3 linked regions of the Macaca mulatta genome follow. The protein of the gene in region 1 purifies or fractionates together with the protein of each later gene. This does not show direct contact. Links are inferred from orthologs where the notes say so. Each region holds a gene or a part of one and is shown in the gene's direction. Other genes may lie near its edges. The genes, in order: TBC1D15, UBXN8 and UBAC2.

Region 1 (3,654 bases):
TGTAACCATTTCTATTTCTGGCCAGCTATTTGCAGCAGACTAATTTGCAGATTACTTTTATGTTGACTTGATACTAGGTTGTTAATTGACTTATTCAACAGATCTTTCGTCTTTGACTACTTACTGACTCTTCTAGCACTGAGGATATAGCTGTGAACAAGATAAAGTTCCTGTTCTCATGAAGCTTTTATTCTAGTAGAAGGCTTAGAATATTTGTTTGTTAGGGTTTTAAATTATTTCTTTGTCAGAGCTTTAAATGTGGAAATGTGTGAGACATTTTCTTTTGTATGTAATATATGTTTCTTCTGTTAATGAGGGAAAAATCTATTAAAAAAACCTTTATTCTTGAATATGCACAAACTTCTAATAATTCATATAGCATACATATAGTGTTTAATATACTTCATATGATTTTCTTGCAATAATTTAGATAAAATCCTCTGTGCCGTTGAATAATTTAATTTAAAAAATTGTCTATATGTAGTTTTTTGGGTTTCTTTTTTTTCTTCTTTTTCCCATTGCTGTTTTTCTGTGAAATATTTTTGGTCTTTGCAGATAAGCTAGCAGTATGTATCTGTTCTAGGTAGTCTAAGTACATTCACACTTAAATGATTCATGAGTAAGTTGAAATTCTAGAACTGTTCTCACTTAGGTATCAGCTTGAAGTGGTCTTATGAGCTCTATAATATAAACACCAGTGAAACATTATGTAAAGTAGTCAAGTGGACACATGGCACTTAATCTAGTGTATCTTACATGTGAGTTCACTGTCCAGACTGGTGTGAAAGCTGCTAGTCATTGTATATAGATAAGTCACTTTAGCTTCCTTCAAATGATACTTGTTTAAGTGTCCATGAAATAATGATGACACATGGTTTCCTTGCAGATAGAGGTTCTGTAAGCTGTAGATTTCTTTTTATGAGTTCAAGAGATCTTATTGGAGATGATTGCAGATAGGAAGGTGATACATACATGCAGGTCAACACTGGTTAATATGTCTTCTGATCTAGTCTAGTAAGCAGCTTCCTTCTAAGTAGTTTATCTTTGTGGGATTGGTAGTGTGGGACAGAAATAATAAAGATCTTGAATAGCAGGATAGTATGATACTTCTTAAGAAATAACATTTTAGGAAAGAAATTTCAGAGACACAGCTTACTTATGTTGGAGTTAAATTGTTAAAATGGTGTTTTACATTAGAAGTGAATTGTAAGTACTAGCATCATTAGTGAGAATAAATTTTTTTTCTCTTTCAGTTTTTTTTTTTATAAATAGTTGATGTTTAAGTTGCTTGTTATCAATTATGATAATGTTCGCAAACCTGGAATTTTAGCTTCTATAACGAGGCCACAAACTCAGAACATGCTGTATTTTACATAACTATAATTTGGTTTGAACTGAGGTCTTGATGTAGTAGAAAGTTAATTTAGCAATTGATTCATTATTTTTGAAGCATTCAAAACTTTTTATCTTTTCATCCTCAATTTCTTGCTGTACTTTGTTTTTCTGCAAATAGAGTGTTGTATATTCACTCCAGTGTTATTTTTTATATCAGTATGCTTACTTCACTACTAAGTGTAGTGTCCTAAAAATAATTACAAAAGGAAATGAAGGAATAAAGGTTTTGTTTTGTTTTGTTTTGTTTTTTTGACTCTTCAAGAGAATTAAGCTATTCTTATTTTGGGGGGAGTAGAAAAGATGAACATTTACTGAGAATTTTCTGTATACTTGGCTTGTACTAGTTAGTTGAAAAGTATTATCTCCTAATTCTTATTAATAGAATTACAATGGGAGGTAAGTATAATTATCTCCATTTTACAAACAAAGTAACTGAGGCTCAGAGACATTCAATTATTTGCCCCATGTCATTCAGTTAGTAAGATGGTAGTACTGCAATATGAATCCAGTCCACCTGCTTGCAAAGCCATGATCAGTTTTTTTGGTCAAAGCTTATATTTTACATAGGAATAACATTTAAAAAATTTATATGTGGTAGGATAATTATTTTAAAAATCATTTTTTAAAAGAACATATAAGTTGCCATATCTAATACAGGTGGAAGCCATAATAATATGAGTGCTGTACTGATTCCCTGGGTTCAACTAATTTATGTTATGCAGTCATGGAGAGCACTGTCAGTACCTTTTAAAAAGGTGAACAAAAATATTTTGCCCCACTCTCTTGTTTTTAAGATGCTCCAAGTCATAGAAATGGGAAAAGCAAATGGTCATTCCTGTTCAGTTTGACAGACCTGAAATCAATCAAGCAAAACAAAGAGGGTATGGGCTGGTCGTATTTGGTATTCTGTCTAAAGGATGACGTCGTTCTCCCTGCTCTACACTTTCATCAAGGAGATAGCAAACTACTGATTGAATCTCTTGAAAAATATGTGGTATTGTGTGAGTAAGTATCGTATTATTTTCTACTTATTGAAACTGGATCATTGTATTAATCCCAAAGCGAACTATTTTTACTTGACCTTGGGCATCAGTGACCTATGTGCATATGAGGACATGAACAGCTTTGTTTTTTCTGGGATATTGATTTATTTGGAATAACGACTGAATCATACTGTGTTATTTTAGTAATTTGAATCTGAGACTTACCACCTAATTACTGTTACAAAGAAAAGAGTAGTTTAATATTTTTTCTACATTTAAATGAATGATAATGCGTTAGTAATTAATGGCCTATATATTTACCTAATTTACCCTTTATTTTGTATTTTCTACTAAATATACAGTTATACTTGTGATGTTGCAACTTTAAGTCAGGCAAGTCCTACGTCCTTTATAAAATTATTTCTCAGTTGGACGATAGGGCCTTACCACTTTCCAGAAATCTTGTCTCTCATTTAGTTACCTGTGTGCATCTGTACATACACATGCTTCCTCACTCTTACTCTCAGCAAATATTTTTTGGGTATCTATTACATCCCAACACTGTGGTAGATGCTTCATATTTACTAGTAAAACAGGGGTGTTCCTGGGTCTCAGAGAATTCATAGTCTGGCAATTAAAACTGAGGAACTAAGATGAAAGAAGTGTCAGCTGCTTTGGGAGTTCCTGGGAAAGAATGAGGGGCACTTAATTGAAACTGGGAGTAGGGATCAAGGAAGACTTCCTGGAGGAAGAAGCATCTAAGTAGAGACCTGAAAAATGAGTGACCATTATAAGGAAAGAGAAGGAGATATTTAGAGGGAAGCATGTTTTACAAGGGAAGAGTACAAACATGATGTAATCACACAGCAAATTAATTCAGTATTACAGGTCTGCAAAGTATGAGGAGGGGAGGGTAATACAGTTAAAGATGGGGCCAAAGAGCTGAGTGAAGTCCAAAGCACAAAGCATCTTTTGGGTCATGTTAGCAGGTTCTTCCAGTTATCCAGGTGAGATTAAAGTGACCTGAACTGGGATAGTGACAGGAAAGATGGAAGTATTGCAGTATTAGATTATAGGATTAGATTTTATGATGGATTGGATGTATGGAGGTGAGAAGGGAGAAGTTGAGGTTTTGGGCTTGGGAGAACTGCAGGGAATGATTGCTAACTTTGTTTGTTTGTTTGTTTATGATGGAGTCTCACTCTGTCACCCAGGCTGGAGTGCGGTGGTGTGATTTTGGCTCACTGCAACCTGCGTCTCCTGGGTTCAGACAATT
Region 2 (3,654 bases), on another chromosome or scaffold:
CGAGACAGGGTTTCACCGTGTTAGCCAGGATGGTCTTGATCTCTTGACCTCGTGATCTGCCCACCTCAGCTTCCCAAAGTGCTGGGATTACAGGCGTGAGCCACCACACCCGACCAACACGATATTTTCACAATTTTATTTCTAGTTATGTAATTTTCTCTATATGGGAAACTACAACTTATACATTACTGATATTCATATTTTTAGTGTAGCTGATTGCTCTAATTATAACTGTATTCCCAAGATAGTGTTTATTCTAGAATTATGCTCTGTACATTTGTTCTGGAAATGACAACCATTATGAGTTTTTTAATGCCCAAAGGAGAACACAGTAAGCCCTCTGTATCCGTGAGTTCCACATCCGAGGATTTAAGCACCTGTGGATTGAGACTATTCAGAAAGGGCTGGGTGTGGTGTCTCACTCCTACAATCCCAGGACCTTGGGAGGCTGAGGCGAGCAGATTGCCTGAGTTCAGGAGTTCAAGACCAGACTGTACCACATGGCGAGACCCTACAAAAAATACAGAAATTAGCCGGGTGTGGTGGTGCGTGCCTGTAGTCCCAGCTACTTGGCGGGGCTAAGGCAGGAGGATCATTTGAGCCCCAGGAGGTTGAGGCTGCAGTGAGCCGTGTTCTCACCACTACACTCCAGCAGCCTGGGTGGCAGAGCAAGACCAAGAAGAGCAACACACTGTCTCTTAAAGAAGGAAAGAAAAGAAAATATTCAGAAAAAAAATGGGGTAAATGAATGTTTGTCTGTCTGTCCCGACCATGTACAGACTTTTTTCCCTGTCCATAAACAGTAAAGTATAGCAACTATTTATAGAGCCTTTACGCTGTATTGGGTAGTATATGAGTAATCTATAGATGATTTAAAGTATGTAGGAGCATAGACTATATGCGAACACTATGCCATTTTATATCAGGTACTTGAACATCCGTGGATTTTGGTATACTCAGGAGTCCTGGAACCAATACCCCATGCATACTAAGGGATGACTATATATGAACAAAATCATAAGACAGTTATATAACTTTACTTTCCCAGTACAGATAATCTTCTAATGTGTTATAATTTATTAGGAGTATCAAGAAAACTGTTTTGGGTTGGGCATGTTGGCTCACGCCTATTATCCTAGCTAGCACTTTGGGAGGCCAAGGCAGGAGGATCACTTGAGCTCAGGAGTTTGAGACCAGCCTAGTCAACATAGTGAGACCTCGTCTCTTAAAACAAAAAGTTTTGAATTTTAATTTTTTTTTTTCCTTCGTCAGGAATCAAGGATTTTCTTTTGCTTTGTGGCCGGATTTTCTTACTGCTTGCTCTTCTTACTTTAATTATTTCTGTGACTACCTCATGGCTTAACTCATTTAAATCTTCCCAAGTTTATCTGAAGGGTAAGTTTATTATTTATGCTACCCTTTTATGCCATTCTACTCAAATTTCTTTCCTTTATTTATTCTAGAACTTTGCACAGTAAGAACCATTTTACTATTAATTTGTGATGTGTAGTTTCAGGGAGAGTAATCATCACAACTTTAGTCATGATTTTGTGTGTGGTTTTTAAAAATTAGTGATGATGGCTTTGCATGGACTATATCCCAACATTTTTATGAGAAATTGTACATTTTTCTCATATATATGTGTTTTTAAGCTATATCATTTCTAAGTTGTTATATGGTAAATTCCCTAATTTTAAATTGTGTGTTTGTGTTGCTTAACTGCCGTTTGATACCTACAGTTTATGAGCTGTTCTACCGAGTGAAAGTATCTATCATTAACCTTTTTTTTTTTTTTGGAGATGGAGTCTCGCTCTGTCACCAGCTGGAGTGCAGTGGCGCAATCTTGGCTCACTGCAACCTCCGCCTCCTGGGTTCAAGCGATTCTCCTGTCTCAGCCTCCCGAGTAGCTGGGACTACAGGCATGCACCACCATGCCTAGCTAAATGTTGTATTTTTAGTAGAGATGGGGCTTCACCATGTTTGCCAGGATGGTCTTGATCTCTTGACCTCGTGATCCGCCCGCCTCAGCCTCCCGAAGTTGGGATCACAGGCATGAGACAGCACGCCCTGCCGATCTACCATTAATCTTGAAAGGCTTTTCATCCTAATTTTTTGTTCCATTCTAGCAGTTTTTACTTAGACACCTTTGTCTTTTATATGTAAATGTTTTTAATTTTAGGAAATCATGCTTGCTTTTGGTTTTTAAATTTGAGACAGAGTCTCGCTCTGTCACCCAGGCTGGAATGCAGTGGCATGATCTTGGCTCACTGCAGCCTCCTCCTCCCAGGCTCAAGTGATCCTCTTGCCTCAGCTTCCCAAGTAGTTGGGACTACAGGTGTGTACCACTGCATCTGGCTAATTTTTGTAGTTTTTGTAGAGGTGGGATTTCGCCATGTAGCCCAGGCTGGTCTCTAGCTCCTGAGCTCAAGTGATCCACCTGCCTCAGTCACCCAAAATGCTGAGATTGCAGGCTTGACCACTTCGCCTAGCCTGTTTCATTTTTGATAAGCAAAAGTTTGTGAGTCCTAGAAGCCTTTTAAAATAATATTGTACTTAGCCTCAGAATCTTAAAACCAAAAACTACATATTTTCTATGCTACTAGGAAGAAGCTTGTCATTAGTGAATTTGGTACATTGTGTTTTCACTGTTTATTTAAATGTAAGTAAATAAAAGGAAAGTGACCAGTGTTGAATGTATAGCCCTTTCAAATTAACTATGAATAAAACCATAATCCTAAAAGGTTATATTATTCAACCCAAACATAAATGACAGTGTGATATTTTAGGGTCTCCCAACCATAGACTTCAGATTTTTTTTCTTTCTTTTGATAAATTATTTGATTGGTTATACTTCAAATGAGATATTTGGGAAGTAAAAAGCACTTTCATGTTTTGATGTCTTAGAAGAAGAAGAAAAGAATGAGAAAAGACAAAAACTTGTGAGAAAAAAACAACAAGAGGCACAAGGAGAGAAGGTAAGCCAGAATTTTTAGAGACTTTATGCATAGAGAAATACAAAAATCTCTGAGGCAATTAAAAATAAGGTCTGTTGCTTCTGTGTTTGTGCTAAGATTTAAAAAATATATATTGAGGTCAAATTCATGTGACATAAACTTGACCATTTTATGTTACTTGTTTTTGAAATGGAGTCTCACTCTGTCACCTAGGCTGGAAAGCAGTGGTGAGATCTTGGCTCACTGCAATCTCCACCTCCCAGGTTCAAGCGATTCTCCCGCCGCAGCCTCCCAAGTAGCTAGGATTACAGGCATGCACCACCACACCCAGCTAATTTTTGTATTTTTAGTAGAGACGTGGTTTCGCCATATTGGCCAGGCTGGTCTTAAACTCCTGACCTCAGGTGATCCGCCTGCCTTGGCCTTCCAAAATGCTGGGATTACAGACATGAGTCACTGTGCCCAGCCACAATTGACCAGGCTGTTCAGTGACATTTAGTACATTCACAAGGTTGTACAACTACCACCTCTGTTCCATCTCCCATGAAGAAAACCGTATACTCTTTAAACAGTCACTCCCCACTTTCCCCTCCTCCCATCCTCTGGCAACTACCAGTCTGCTTTCTGTTGGTATGAATTTACCTATTGTGGATGAATAATATTGCATTGAATAGATATACTTTTTTTTTTTTTTTTTTTG
Region 3 (3,654 bases), on another chromosome or scaffold:
TAAATTCAGTTTTGTGTTGATTTGTACTGCTTAGTGTTCTGTGGTAGAGGATTTTGCTTATTGCCTAACACGCTGTGACTAAGAAGAACACTATGTGCAGTGTTTGGAGGCTGCTGATTTTTGTGTCATGTACATTTTTTAAAATGATACTACATTTAATCAATCACATTGGACGTTTTTCTTTTAGATGTCCGGTCTGTGCTACAACAGCAAAATGTTCCAGGTGCATCAGGTGCTCTGCATCCCCAGCTGGATGGCAAAATTCTTTTCTTGGACACTTGAACCCATCTTCTCTTCTTCAGAACCCACCAGCGAAGCCAGAATTGGGATGGGAGCCACGCTAGACATCCAGAGACAGCAGAGGATGGAGCTGCTGGACCGGCAGCTGATGTTCTCTCAGTTTGCACAAGGGAGGCGACAGAGACAGCAGCAGGTAAAAGTGATAATAATCACTAAAAATTTAGAAATTCTCAGTGGCCCCAGCAAATCTTTCCTCTGTGATTGCATGTGAGATAGAGACTACATTTTATTCCAGTGCCTTGCAAGCGGATTTTGACATTTCCAAAGAGAATGTAGGTCTCTGTTAGTGGCGATTCTTAGTTTTTTAAGAAGGTAAAAAATAAATTGTAGCTGAAAGATTGGTCAAACTGGACATTCTTTTTCCACCTATATTAGATAAGCATGACTTCTTAGAGAAACACCAACCTAGTTAACAAGATGTGCTATTTATCTGTTTTTATAATCTTGTAAAAGCCACAGTGTCTTCCTGTTAAAATGCTAATCATATGCCATGGAGTGAAGAACAAATGTAAAACTTCTTGATTTTCCTTAATTGAAATGAAGAGAATATGAAGGTAATAAGATTTTCAATGGAACAACCAAGGAGTAGATTTAAAAAATGCTGTGTTTTCTCAACCTTGCTATCAATAATCAGAAACTATTGCACATTTGTCTACAAATACTGCATCCAAACAATCTGATACCACACTTGTCTTCCATGGGCAGCGAAGGAAGGAGGGTTAGTGCACATCAGGCTAAAACCTCAGGCCTGATCTTTCTAGGACACTTCTGTGAGCCAGCCTACAGGGCTCCCCATTTTTCGCCTCTACCTTCTTTACCCCTGGGGTAGTTGTAAACCATACTTACCTCTGCCATCTCTCTGTCTCCCACTAGCATTAGATGCAAGAAGTAGGTCTGCAGATCTCACGATGGTTTGGAGAAGTGAAATCAGGTTTGAGGTCCTTAGAGTCTCATTGGAGATGCAGGTCCCAGAGTTTATATTGGGATGGGAGGAAGGGGGCACCTTATCAGGTGCAGAGTCTACAAGAGAAAGAGAGAAGCAGAAGTTGTTTCTTAAAGATGTGCTTGAATTTGAGTGACTCTGGAACATGCCATAAAGATGCTCATGATGTATTTAAAGCTGGAGGATGGACATCTCTGTCTTGGAGATGTGGAAGCTACATATATATGTAGGCGATGGAGTCACCTCTGTAGGGGTGAGAGCTGAGAGCCGAAAGCAAAGAACTAGTAAGTTCTGTAAGAGAAGAACTACATCCAAGGTGAACACAGGCTACAGATGAAGCCTTGTATTTAGCAGGAGGTAAATCCTACAAGGAAACAGAGAAGAGCGAAAGGTATGAGAACTCAGAATGATCAAGGTCAGAAAAACTGAGTAGTGATTGAGTATAAAGGTAGAGGCAAAGAGCTTATGAGGGGGTGTTCTGATGTTTCTGGCCTAGATAATCTTGAAGATAGAGGACTGATAGTTCCATTTCACCAATATCAAAAGAGCAGATTTGGGGGAAATATGTTGTCTGAGATACCTTGGGAGTCCTGGGAGGAGATTCTCCATTGGAGAGCTTTGAATTTGTACTCATAAGCAAACCAGAGAAGCTGCATTTCTCAGATTGGCCTCCTCAGGAAGATTTTTATACAAGGAGTTTAAGAGCGAACACTGTCAGCATACAGTCACATCGCAGGATTAAGGCTTCAGTGTGTGAATATGGGGCAGGGGCAAGGGGTGGGGGACAGTGTGTTCCATAACGCTGCAGGGTGGAAAGGGCCCAGCATCGTCTCGGTGCTGCGTGACTGTTCTGCTTGCGGACGGTGGTTATCCGGTGCATGCAGTCTCTGTGGGTGCCAGGTTGGATGCTCCATAGTGGCAGGAGATAGGTCGGTCTGGGTGAGGGGACCGCACATTCCTCTGTGCCGCCACTGTGGCCGTCCATTCGTGTGCCAGCACTGGGTTATCTGGCGATGGAGCCACGGCCATTCTGCCCACCTTCCACTTGGTGCCTTTTCGGTGGTGGATGCCCGTGGTGGGCACTACCTGCAAAACACTTGATGCTGCTGTTCCTCTAGCTGGGTCCTCCTTGTGCCCTTCCTTCCAGTCCCCTGACCGGCCAACCAGGTGATCTGCCATGCCCAGCAGATCCACACGTGTGATTGCCTCAGGCCACTTCTCTTTCCACTCAGAGTTGGTGACCAAATGTGCTGCCCGGGCTCTGCCCATAGGGGTTCCCCTGATCATTGTCTTTCAAGATCGAGCCATCATGCAGCCGTTTCCTCCAGCTGCCACTCATGTCCTGAGCCAGCCTATCCATTTGGCTGTTTTCCCCTCTGTCACTTGGTCATGAGGGGCCCAACCGCTGTGGCAGTCGGTGTTAGCTGGGAAGAGGCTGTGGTGCAGCAGAGGTGGCTGCCAGGGTGGTCTGGCATGTCTGCTTCTGCAGCTCACCCATGCCCTGCAGCCCCACTCATGCTGAGCCCAGATGCCCATGTCCATCTGGTGACGGGTTTCTGTCGGCCCGCCTGGCTTGGTAACGTGGTGGGTCTCCACTGCTGACCACATGCTCACGTTACGGCCTATGGACAGGCACTTCGTGGTGCAGCAGTAGTTTATACAAGTGGGATTCTTGGCTGCGTGCGCACACCCTCGCTCCAGGACCCTATGGACCCACATTATGGTTCTCCTTTCCTGCCTTGCCGTAAACTCCGCACGGTGTCTTTCCCCACCCCAGATACTTGGAACATCATGGGATCTACCAGCTTGCACCCAGGCCTCAGGGAATGAGACAGACCCAAATCCCTGCCCTGCTGGAGCGTGCATTCCCACCAGGCGCCTGTGAAGTGGCACGGGCCTTTATGGCTGTTTGTACTGCTGTCAGACTCCTCCACTTTCATAGGATGGTCTCACCAACAGGTCTGAAGTCCAGAGCAGGACACCAGCCCTTGGGCCTTTGCCGGGCTTTTACATTGAGTGGTCTGCTGGGCAGCACAGACCAGACTTGATTTTTTGCTAAGCTTACTTCTAGGGTCTGCACATGGATACACCCAAAACTCAGTGCTTAGACTCCTGCTGAACTTCTTCACTCAGCTGTGTCTCAGTGTTATTCACATAAGTGTGATAAATCACCACGTAGAGAACTCTTGTTAAACCACCACTGGGAATTATCTGCCGTGTTTGTGTGCATGCACGAGTACTGTACAGGGTGCAGTTGTATCGGAATGTAATACCAGGGGAAGAGTTTATTTTGATTTTCGTTTACTTTTCAACAAATAAGTACTTAGTGCTTATTATATGCTAGGCCTAGGGCTGGACATTGAGGACACAGGTATAAGAAAGATAGCCCCTAGTCCTTTTTCTTATGGAGC

What was found.
Region 2: the proteins of TBC1D15 (region 1) and UBXN8 purify together in Homo sapiens (affinity purification with mass spectrometry; 3 studies listed by BioGRID and IntAct, counting the BioPlex papers as one, with this or other methods). This does not show direct contact. The link is inferred for Macaca mulatta from reciprocal best matches to the Homo sapiens genes TBC1D15 and UBXN8.
Region 3: the proteins of TBC1D15 (region 1) and UBAC2 purify together in Homo sapiens (affinity purification with mass spectrometry; 3 studies listed by BioGRID and IntAct, counting the BioPlex papers as one, with this or other methods). This does not show direct contact. The link is inferred for Macaca mulatta from reciprocal best matches to the Homo sapiens genes TBC1D15 and UBAC2.

Annotation. Positions count from the first base shown.
Region 1 is NC_133416.1:79,038,715-79,042,368, forward strand, and holds part of TBC1D15 (TBC1 domain family member 15), read left to right. Parts: intron 1-2,189; coding exon 2,190-2,400; intron 2,401-3,654. UniProt on the Homo sapiens protein: Acts as a GTPase activating protein for RAB7A. Does not act on RAB4, RAB5 or RAB6.
Region 2 is NC_133413.1:32,539,946-32,543,599, forward strand, and holds part of UBXN8 (UBX domain-containing protein 8), read left to right. Parts: intron 1-1,272; coding exon 1,273-1,395; intron 1,396-2,904; coding exon 2,905-2,975; intron 2,976-3,654. UniProt on the Homo sapiens protein: Involved in endoplasmic reticulum-associated degradation (ERAD) for misfolded lumenal proteins, possibly by tethering VCP to the endoplasmic reticulum membrane. May play a role in reproduction.
Region 3 is NC_133422.1:94,050,827-94,054,480, forward strand, and holds part of UBAC2 (ubiquitin-associated domain-containing protein 2), read left to right. Parts: intron 1-187; coding exon 188-433; intron 434-3,654. UniProt on the Homo sapiens protein: Restricts trafficking of FAF2 from the endoplasmic reticulum to lipid droplets.